Linked DNA regions of Arabidopsis thaliana. The protein of the gene in region 1 interacts with the protein of each later gene in a biochemical or structural test. Each region holds a gene or a part of one and is shown in the gene's direction. Other genes may lie near its edges. The genes, in order: RIP3 and ROP2.

Evidence for each region.
Region 2: the proteins of RIP3 (region 1) and ROP2 form a complex in vitro, tested with the Arabidopsis thaliana proteins (one study listed by BioGRID).

What each region holds. Positions count from the first base shown.
Region 1 is NC_003074.8:19,779,557-19,784,794, reverse strand, and holds RIP3 (ROP interactive partner 4), read left to right. Parts: upstream 1-2,093; 5' UTR 2,094-2,257; intron 2,258-2,564; exon of another isoform or gene 2,565-3,170; 5' UTR 3,171-3,239; coding exon 3,240-3,259; exon of another isoform or gene 3,260-3,297; coding exon of another isoform or gene 3,298-3,350; coding exon 3,351-4,605; 3' UTR 4,606-4,713; downstream 4,714-5,238. Other genes in the region: AT3G53360 (Tetratricopeptide repeat (TPR)-like superfamily protein), read right to left, coding at 1-293. UniProt on the Arabidopsis thaliana protein: ROP effector binding specifically activated ROPs and linking them to the microtubule cytoskeleton. Involved in ROP-regulated polar growth.
Region 2 is NC_003070.9:6,965,139-6,969,777, forward strand, and holds ROP2 (RHO-related protein from plants 2), read left to right. Parts: upstream 1-1,703; 5' UTR 1,704-2,084; coding exon 2,085-2,180; intron 2,181-2,478; coding exon 2,479-2,566; intron 2,567-2,651; coding exon 2,652-2,761; intron 2,762-2,842; coding exon 2,843-2,906; intron 2,907-3,054; coding exon 3,055-3,119; intron 3,120-3,201; coding exon 3,202-3,267; intron 3,268-3,366; coding exon 3,367-3,465; 3' UTR 3,466-3,871; downstream 3,872-4,639. Other genes in the region: AT1G20100 (DNA ligase-like protein), read right to left, coding at 4,176-4,639. UniProt on the Arabidopsis thaliana protein: Inactive GDP-bound Rho GTPases reside in the cytosol, are found in a complex with Rho GDP-dissociation inhibitors (Rho GDIs), and are released from the GDI protein in order to translocate to membranes upon activation.

The sequences.
Region 1 (5,238 bases):
CAGTTGGAATTCAAAATGTGATCATGTATCTTTCTGCCTTGTGCTAGAGATCTCGATGAAGAGCAAGCACAAATTAAAGAGATGTAGGTTCTTAACCTTATCTTGAAGCTTGAGTTCTTCTGCGCAAAATCAAACGCTTCCAATGCTTCCCGGTAGAAATTACTTTTACATAGGGAATTAATGTGATCATTCATTAATTCTTCGGTCTTGATGGTTGATACAACACTTGATGTTGCCAGTATCTGACTGTTGCTGACGGAAACTCTAGCTCCCAACCGTAACATTGTCGCCATTTCAGTTAACCTTTTTTAATCCAAACGAGTTCTTCCTAGCAAAAGAAGGTTCAGCGAGAAAGACATGTCACTAAACGAAGCATCCAACTAACCAAACAAAGAATTCTTTATCTTCGTCGAGAATGAAGGCAATATAATCCATTATATCAAACTTCTTCAAAACAGATACAACTGAATATTCTTGTGCAAACTCATATGTAGATGAACAAGTTGGATATCAGGACGGGCCTGTTTCAAGGGGAGACAAAAAAAAGTAATCAAATACCTTGTATATATATACATCATTCAAATTATATTAAAACTCAGGATCAAGCCAGTTAATTTCACAGCATAAATGCTTTAGCAACAAAGTGGTTAGTTTCACAGACATTTTATCGAGCAGGTGGTGTGCACAATGTAAAACAAAGAAAAACAGAAACCTTTGACGTAAGATTTTGATTATTTTTCCGACAATGTCTGAGTAAATGAGAATGGTGGAATCTGGCTCCAATTTCAATGATTCAAATTGAGGGACAAGGACGAAGAAAGAACCGCGTTATGGTTTTAGACTTTTTAGTGGTGTGGTGAAATTTACGTCGAGTTTTGAACGATACATATGGATACGAGTTACGGTTTCAAGTATGGTTCAACCGACGCGAATTAGATCGAACCGAAAATTTGATCGAAAAATGAAATCGTTGTCCGCCAGAACCGGATAAAACCGGAAATTGGGAGGCGGATGAAATTAGTTTTTGACTTTTTGTACATAACCAACCCATCATCAGTCGATCACTCACTCTCGGTCACTGAAAATTAAAAAAAGAAACAACACTAGCTAATTTCAAAATGTTTTATGATCAATGGTTTATAATAATTTCTAACATTTTTGCATAATCATCATCGCATGGTGGTGTTTAATTATTTAATTACTAGCCAGACAGTGTAGTGAATTTATTGTTGAAATACTTTCTTTTTATTCGTCAAAAGAAAAATTTGATTAGTAGTTCAGAAGTCACTAGTTAATACTCTAATAATCTAGTACTAGTGAATATAATGTTTTTACAAACCATTAATGTAATCAAGCTAATCGATCGTTAGCATAAATTTCAACGATATTTTCTCCCAATTTTTGTTTTCCGCCCAAATATATAGTTAAAGTTGTGTGGAAATAATATGTTAAGTAAATTAGCAAGCGTGTATGATAAATGAAGATAGTGATGATTGATTTTGCATTGTTTCTTTTAGGAGATGTGTATGTCGTATTTATCATGCATCGGTTTTCTATGAGGTGGTGTGAAAGTGAAACGTTACATGCTTCAATATATAGCACTTTCAAATGTATGTAGATTGAACACGGAAGGTTAATGTGTTTTTGTGAAAAATTGTGACAATTTTATGAAAATTTTCCATTTATAAAGTATATAGATATGCTAGGTTAGTGTCCTTTGTGTGTGAGTGACTTATGGTTGCGTGACCGTTCGTTGTTCATAAGTAGCAATATGAGGCCAAACAATAGCACGTGACTCGGGCGCGTCTACAAGGCGCGTAGTTAAAAAAACGCCCCCTCCACGTTCTTCTACTTTCGGTCCATTCTATCAATTAATTTCAAAATAGCCCCTGATATTTATTGATCTATTTCATTACCAACCCCACAAGTTTTTTTGATTATCCAAAATTTTAATTTTAATTTTTCGGAATAACCAAAAGGAATCCAACGTAAAAGGATTATAAAAATAACTAAGTACTGAAAATTGAGGTGGAAACAGCACAATCATTACTTCAGGGGTTACTTTTGATAAATATTGCAGTTTAGTTGAAAATAAATGTTTCTTCAGTGGGAAAAAACGACTCGCGAGTCCAGTGAGAAAAAAAGAATAACAATCCGACGAGAAAGAGGAAAGATCAAATCATCTAAGTGCTGGTGCCTTGATTCTGCAGTTCTCCATTTTAATCCAACAAAAAAAGAAGCTGAATCGACGGTATAGGTGAATACTTCTTCACGACTTTTTCAAACACTCAGAAACTTCTCTTCCTTTCACATTGATTTATTCCTAATTTTAGTGCGATTTTTTCCTTTTTTTTCTCAGAAGTTTATCAATCTTGTTAGGTAGATATTTACTACTAGTTTGTTTTTTCTACTAATTTGCTGAAGAAAGTGTTAATCTTTGGTTGGTTTAAGGTATAAATTTGCTTACATCTACTCAAATCAGCTAACTTTTATTTTGGTTTGGTAGCTTAAAGATTCAGTCAAAAAAAACTTTAATCTTTGTTTTCCTGCAAAAAGCAAAAGTGTTTCTGTAATAAAACACCTTTTTGCAGAGAATGTTAAAAGATTCTCTAGTTTTAGGCTTTATGTAAAAACGATTTTTTTGCTGGGTGTTCTGTTTTTGGATCTGTGTTTCTTTTTTGGGAAGATCCACCCAATGAAACCAAATCTCACATTACAAAATGACAAGAAATTGTCTCTTCTTCCCAATAATTCCAAAACTTTGATTTAGTAAAAAATAAAATAAAATAACTGGGTGACTTAACAACCAGAAAGATTATGTGTAAGATATTGGTGCTTTCTTTGCTTGTAATAGGGTTTATCTTTGGTGATTTGATGAATCACATTGACGGCAACTTCTTTTCTAATTACACTTCTAAATATTTTATATATTTGGAATTGTTCCAAATCATTACAATATTCATTTGTTGTCTCTTTGCTTTCGTTTGGTGGTAATAGGAGTCTCTTTGAAGCTAAATGTGTAAATATTATTCTTATGTTTTTTTCGTACACTTGCTTAAGCTTTCTTTCTTCCCTGAGTTTGGTTGTCTATATGCTTATGATAAGTTTTTTTTTTCCCTCTGTTGCTTCTTTCTCACACTTTCCATTGGTCTTCATGTACTATTTGTCAGATTCTTCAAAGAAGCAATCATAACGCAATTGATTATATCCCCAAAAGAAAAGGTTTTTAAACTCCAAAAATGCAGACTCCAAAATCAAGGTGATGATCACAACTCTAACTTTGTGTTCTTGTTGTGAATGTTGTTGGAGTTATTGATCTGTTTCAAAGTGATTGTGATTGTGTGTGATAGGCCAGGATCATTGGAGCTGCCACAAAAGAAGTCTCCTTTACCAGCTCCCAAAGTTGTTAGGAGACTCAAACCAAGCGGAGCAGAATCCGATCCAAAAACCAAGACAATATCGAAAACTCAAATCCCGAAAGTAGTAGCTGATCGTCGCTCTGCAAGAATCCCTCTCAATGAGGTACTTTTGCAGTTAAAAATTGTTGGTTTGGTTTGGTGTATGCAAGTTTTATATATGGTGATTCTTGATTATGTTCTTTTCAAGATTCAGAAGAAGCGGACGGGAAGGATACCGGAACTGGAATCTACGATATCTCAGCTTCAAGAAGAGCTTAAGAAGGCAAAAGAAGAGCTAAACAGATCAGAAGCATTGAAAAGAGAAGCTCAAGAAGAAGCTGAAGATGCCAAGCATCAGTTAATGGATATCAATGCCTCGGAAGATTCAAGAATTGAGGAGCTGCGTAAACTCTCGCAGGAGCGAGACAAGACATGGCAGTCTGAACTTGAAGCTATGCAGAGACAACACGGAATGGATTCTACCGCTCTGTCTTCTGCCATTAACGAAGTTCAGAAACTGAAATCGAAGCTCTTTGAGTCCGAGTCTGAGTTAGAGCAGTCTAAGTATGAGGTAAGGTCTTTAGAGAAACTCGTCAGACAGCTCGAGGAAGAAAGAGTAAACAGTAGAGACTCTTCATCATCAATGGAAGTGGAAGAGCTGAAAGAAGCAATGAATCTTTCAAGGCAAGAGATAACACAATTGAAATCTGCAGTTGAAGCAGCAGAGACAAGGTATCAAGAAGAGTATATACAGAGCACATTGCAGATAAGAAGCGCATACGAACAAACAGAGGCGGTTAAATCAAGATATTCACAGAGAGAAGCAGAGTTAACGGAAGAATTGAACAGAACCAAAGATGAAATCGAAGGTTTGCGCAAAGAGTTAATGGAGAAGGTGAAAGAAGACGAATCTACGGGCGATTTGAAGAAGCTAGAATCGGATTTGATGGAAGTGAGAGGGAGTTTAATGGATAAAGAGATGGAGTTGCAGATTCTAAGGAGTGCAATGGAGAAGAAAGTGGAAACCGCAAACACGGAAGCCATGGAAGCTGAGCTTAAAAGAGTGAAGATTCAATGTGAGCAATGGAGGAAAGCTGCTGAGACGGCAGCTTCTATACTGAACAATGATGAGGAAAGAACAGATTCTATTGAGACTAGCAAAATGTTGAAGAAGTTTGGTGTGTTACTCAAGAAAAACCATAAGTAATAATAATACTGATTCTTTTTACTTGATTTAATAAAAATGGCATTATTGTTGTATGTAAATTTATAAAATTTCGATTTGTCTAAGTTTAATTTTTTTGTTGAAACGTTGCCACATTTGTTGATGAAATTTGTATTGTGAAATGTTGTTTGAATTCAATACTTGAAAAATTATACCTTACTTGTCTGAGTGTGAGCTGCTAGTAGCAAATTTAGTTTGGTCCTGTACATTGGTTTACACTTTACATGTATAGAAGAGTCAAGAGTGTAAAGTAAAAGTTTGTAATAGAATGTGAAACTCTAATTAAGAAGCCACATGAATACCTCTCAAGTCTTGGATCTTCCTTTTGACATTTTCTTCTGTCTATTTTCCTTTTTGTTGCGCACTAAACGCTGAGACGGCCCACTAGATTGTCTTTGGTAATGACAACCAAATCCACTTCATGAAAACATTTGACTTTTTTTTTTTTGGCAGAGACTAACCCATTCTACCTAGTTTTTAGATATCAGTGACAATAATTAATTAACTACTAGAAAATGTCCCACGCGATGCGTGGGTGAAATGAATGTAGTGAAATATATGTCTATAACTAATATATATTAATATAATATTAATTATTTTATAATACATTCAATA
Region 2 (4,639 bases), on another chromosome or scaffold:
GTTTTTTTTGTCGTTTCTGAATTATTTTGCAGCTTATTGGATTATGGCAATAGTGATTATGGATTGTCTTTTTCATCTATTTCTTAGAGAATTCTGGTCAGTAATTGAATTATTCTATCAAAAAGGAAAAAAGATTTTTGAACAGAAAAGAAGTGAAGTTAGTTAATAAAGAGAGATTGGTCACTGGTTGGTGAATACTGAATAGTTGGTAAGCTACTAAGCTTAACTTCTTTGATATCATGATTTGGTTAATTCATACTTTTCGTGTACAATTTAGTGGTTTGTGCTACTATCATTGAATGTGATTATTTAAATCCAAATCCACATGATAAATGTTTATTAAAAAAATTATGAGTGGTTAAATTAACACATAATTTTGTACGATTTATCACGGTCATTTGATAAATATTTGTGGATAACTTTATTACATTTCTAATTTTCATTATTAAACTCAGTAAGCATATAATCAATATAAGCAATTTCTTTTTTGGTCAGCAATATATATATATATATATAGTCTTATGGAATGAAAAAGTTGAAAATAACACATGATGGCAATTAGCTACTAATTCATCAAGTTTGACAAATAATTATAAGAAGCTACCGTCTGGTGTGATTATGATTAGGTGATGGGACAATCAGTGACGTGGTGGATCGTTAGTGGATTGATTTAGTTAGAGTTGGGCACGTCCCATTGGACTCTAGTCGCCTATGTTTCGTAATCCGAGGGGAATCGAAAAGAGAAAATAAGTAAAAACATCATAAATAAGACATTTATGAATCGTGCCGGCACGTTCTTGATGAGTGAGAGTTGCCAAATCCAATGATTAAAGATTTCATTCATGCCTCTTCGTATTTTGCTTAAGTCTCTCTCGTATGCCATTTTTTTTTTTTTTTTGCTATACTATAAAGTCTATCTTAGATCATTTGAATTTACCTCCCTTGATACATTACATACGAGAGAACTGGCAGTTGTAGAAGATGTTGTGAATGGGAGTCTTATAACTGGATATGCGGATTCAAATTCGCTAGCTAAAGAAAGTTTTTATTTGAAGAAAATCTATAGTTTTGAGACGGTATAATATTTTACCAATTACTATTTGTAAAATAATCGATACATGGTTAAACTAAGTAAGATAACAACTTTTAGTTGTTGTTTTGGTGAAATGATAAACTTCTATGGAATTCTTATCTTGTTTTGGTAGGTACCAAGAGGATTAGACAGATAAGCGACTTCGTTTACTGCTAATATTGATAATCAAAACTTCGTTAGCTATGTTTTAATAAAGTTGTGAACAAAAAGAATGTTATGGAAAACTGCTCAAAACTGGATAAGTCTCATGCCAGTAAGAATCAAAGTGGCAGTGCAAGTCCAAAGACACAACACACTAGGATTTTGAAACTTGCATTGTTCAGACAATATATGATAGTTCAAAATATTACCTTACTAAGATTTCTCTAGGCTTCATGTCAATGATTTAGTCCAAATTTAAGAGACAATTTTAACTCAAAACAACAATGAAAATATGTATCACAATAAAAAAGTGTTAAACGAAATATATTATTAAAAACATTTAAAAACTGTTGAGAAACCAAAGAGATAATACAAAAACATTCATGACAATTGTATTTTTCTTGTTGTTTAAAAAAAACTGACAGATCTTCTCCATTTCAAAATTCAAAATCCGTGACATAAAAGAAAAGAGACTTTCAAAATTTTGAAAAAAGAAAAATAGAGGTGAAAATAAAAAGTATAATATAAATAAAAGGGGAGTGAGTGTATATGATAAGGAGGTGTTTGGTGCTGTTCTCTTAGCTGTCTCAGAGTTGTTGTTTTTCTACTAGTCCCCTCCTCCTATAGGCTCCTCTCAAAGTCATCTATCAACCGCCAAATCAACCTTCTTCTTCTTCTTTTCCTTCTCTCTTCGATTCTTTTTCGAATTTGGGTGATTCTCAGATTCACAAGCTTTTAGAGCTCGAATTTGATTGGCGAGCTAGAAATGTCGAGGTTTTGAGGAAGAAGCAACCACAAAAGAGGATTGATTTTAAGGGCTTTTTTGTTTGTTTCCGATCTTGCGGCAGAGATGGCGTCAAGGTTTATAAAGTGTGTGACCGTCGGAGATGGTGCCGTCGGAAAAACTTGCATGCTCATTTCTTACACTAGCAATACTTTTCCTACTGTAAATCTTTCCTCTCCTATTTCAATATCTCTTCGGTTTCTTATTTTTTTGTTGAGCTCGTTGCAAGAGTAGATTAGTGATCTGCAAGGTTTTTGCAAATTGGATTCAGGTGTAGATTTTAGGTCATGGAGCTGTATACTAGAAATTGATCAATTTCGTTACAACTTTTTTTGTTTTAAGACTTTGAGAATCTAGGCCAAAGTATTGATCTTGAAGCTACTGTGTTTTGTTTTTGCTTTTTATAAAGGATGATTTTGATTATAAGGTGTAAATCTGTGACTTGTGATTGGTGTTTCAGGATTATGTGCCAACTGTTTTCGACAACTTCAGTGCTAATGTGGTTGTTGATGGCAACACTGTCAATCTTGGATTGTGGGATACTGCTGGTAATTCTTTCGTTTCACCGTTTGGGATTTTCCTTTTGTTTCGGTTGTTTTTGACTTAGTTTGTGTTTGTGGGGTTTGTTAACAGGTCAAGAGGACTACAACAGGTTACGACCTTTGAGTTACCGTGGTGCTGATGTTTTCATTCTTGCTTTCTCTCTTATTAGCAAGGCTAGCTATGAGAATATAGCCAAGAAGGTTTGTCTCTCTTTTGCTGATAAATCCTATACAGTTTGTGTTGATGAGTGATCTTATTTGATTTCGTTCCTCCTCTCTCAGTGGATTCCTGAGCTCAGGCATTATGCTCCTGGTGTTCCCATTATCCTTGTTGGGACAAAACTCGGTAATCACACACTTTCCCTATTGAACTGATCATGCTATTTTTTTGACTGAAAGATCTGTGGTTACGTTCCTACAAGCCTTGTGACACCAACGAAGTTGTTAAGTTTTCTTGCAAAATTTGATTGTTAAGTCACTGGTATTTGCTGCAGATCTTCGAGATGACAAGCAATTCTTTATAGATCATCCTGGTGCTGTGCCAATTACTACAAACCAGGTACATATCCTTTTAAACGAATAGTCTTGCAATGATTGCCAGTTCTTAATAGAATTGTCTGATGTTGTTTTGAATGATGCAGGGAGAGGAACTGAAGAAACTGATTGGATCTGCTGTCTACATTGAATGTAGTTCAAAGACACAGCAGGTATACATAACAAATCGCTTGTCCTGTTCCTCACTGTTTGCAATATTTGATCTTATCAAGAGGGTGAGCTTTATTTCTTTCCTTTTGGTGTTTCTGCAGAACGTGAAGGCAGTGTTTGATGCAGCTATAAAAGTGGTGCTTCAGCCACCAAAGCAGAAGAAGAAGAAAAAGAATAAGAACCGTTGCGCGTTCTTGTGATAAGAAAAACCTCTAAGACTAGGTAAAACCAACTAAAGAAAGAAGCAGAAGATGATTTCAACTATTTGATTCGGCCCATTTTAATATGATAATTTCGACGTGAAGGGAGACATTTCTAGTAGCTTTTTTGTATAGTTGCTAAAACGAGCTTTGTTGTTGTTGTGTCTTTTACTCTTTGCTGGTGAATCTTTCGAGTCCACAGACTAAGAGACCGTGTGTTGTACTCTTGCTATGTAGACTAATCTCTGTCTCTCTTCTCTTTTGTTCTTGAGGATCATTTTGTATTAACAAATGAATCTAATTAATATTTGCAACGTTTATTTTGTTTTTAAGAGCTCTTGTTTTCTGCTTCTTTCCCACAAGATGTATATTCATGTGATCTTACCAAGCATCATGCTTAAAGAGATCTTTCTCCAGCTGCCTAAGCAAGAAGTTAAACTGGGGAACGGCTAAACCAGTCAACTTCTTGCAAGAAATTGCTTATTTAAAAGTAGCCAGCTTTTGCAATCGCATTGATCAATTCAACCAAAAACTTCCAGTTGACAAAAATCATGTAGACGATAGTTTAGTAAGTGGAAACCATGATTTTTGATTAGTGTCAAAAATACAGAGATCGTTCAAGTATCATAGATCACTGTGATTGTTACAATGATAACTGTACAAAGCTAAGGCCTAAGGCTAAGCTGAGAAAGAACAAAACAATATGGGACCTAAAACGGGACAGTATATGGTAATGAAAAAATTCCAACTTCAGACAATAACATAGCTCTAGGCAAAGAGGAACAATCTCTTGACGTCTGCAAGCTCATGATCGTGTCTTCATCAGTCTTATAAGAAGACTTGGCAGAAGAAACATTTTCTTTCCGACTTGTTCCAAAAAGCCAGTCATCGCTGCTGCTATCATCTTCCTCCAAGGAAATACAGGGAGGAACTAATTCATCAAACAATGAATTGTACCGGGATTCTTTGCTAGGCTTATGTTTCTTTCTCTTCTTTGATTCGGAAATAATTGCTACCTTGCCACTCTCAAGAGAAGTTGAGGGTACAGCCACATCATGATCACAGATACTTGGAAGAGAGACAGAACTTGGTAATTCGCTAGGTCTCTGAGTCCCTGAAGTGGAACAAACAGGATCCTCTTGAGGTACAGCTTCAGCTTCTTTCGGTTTCTTGA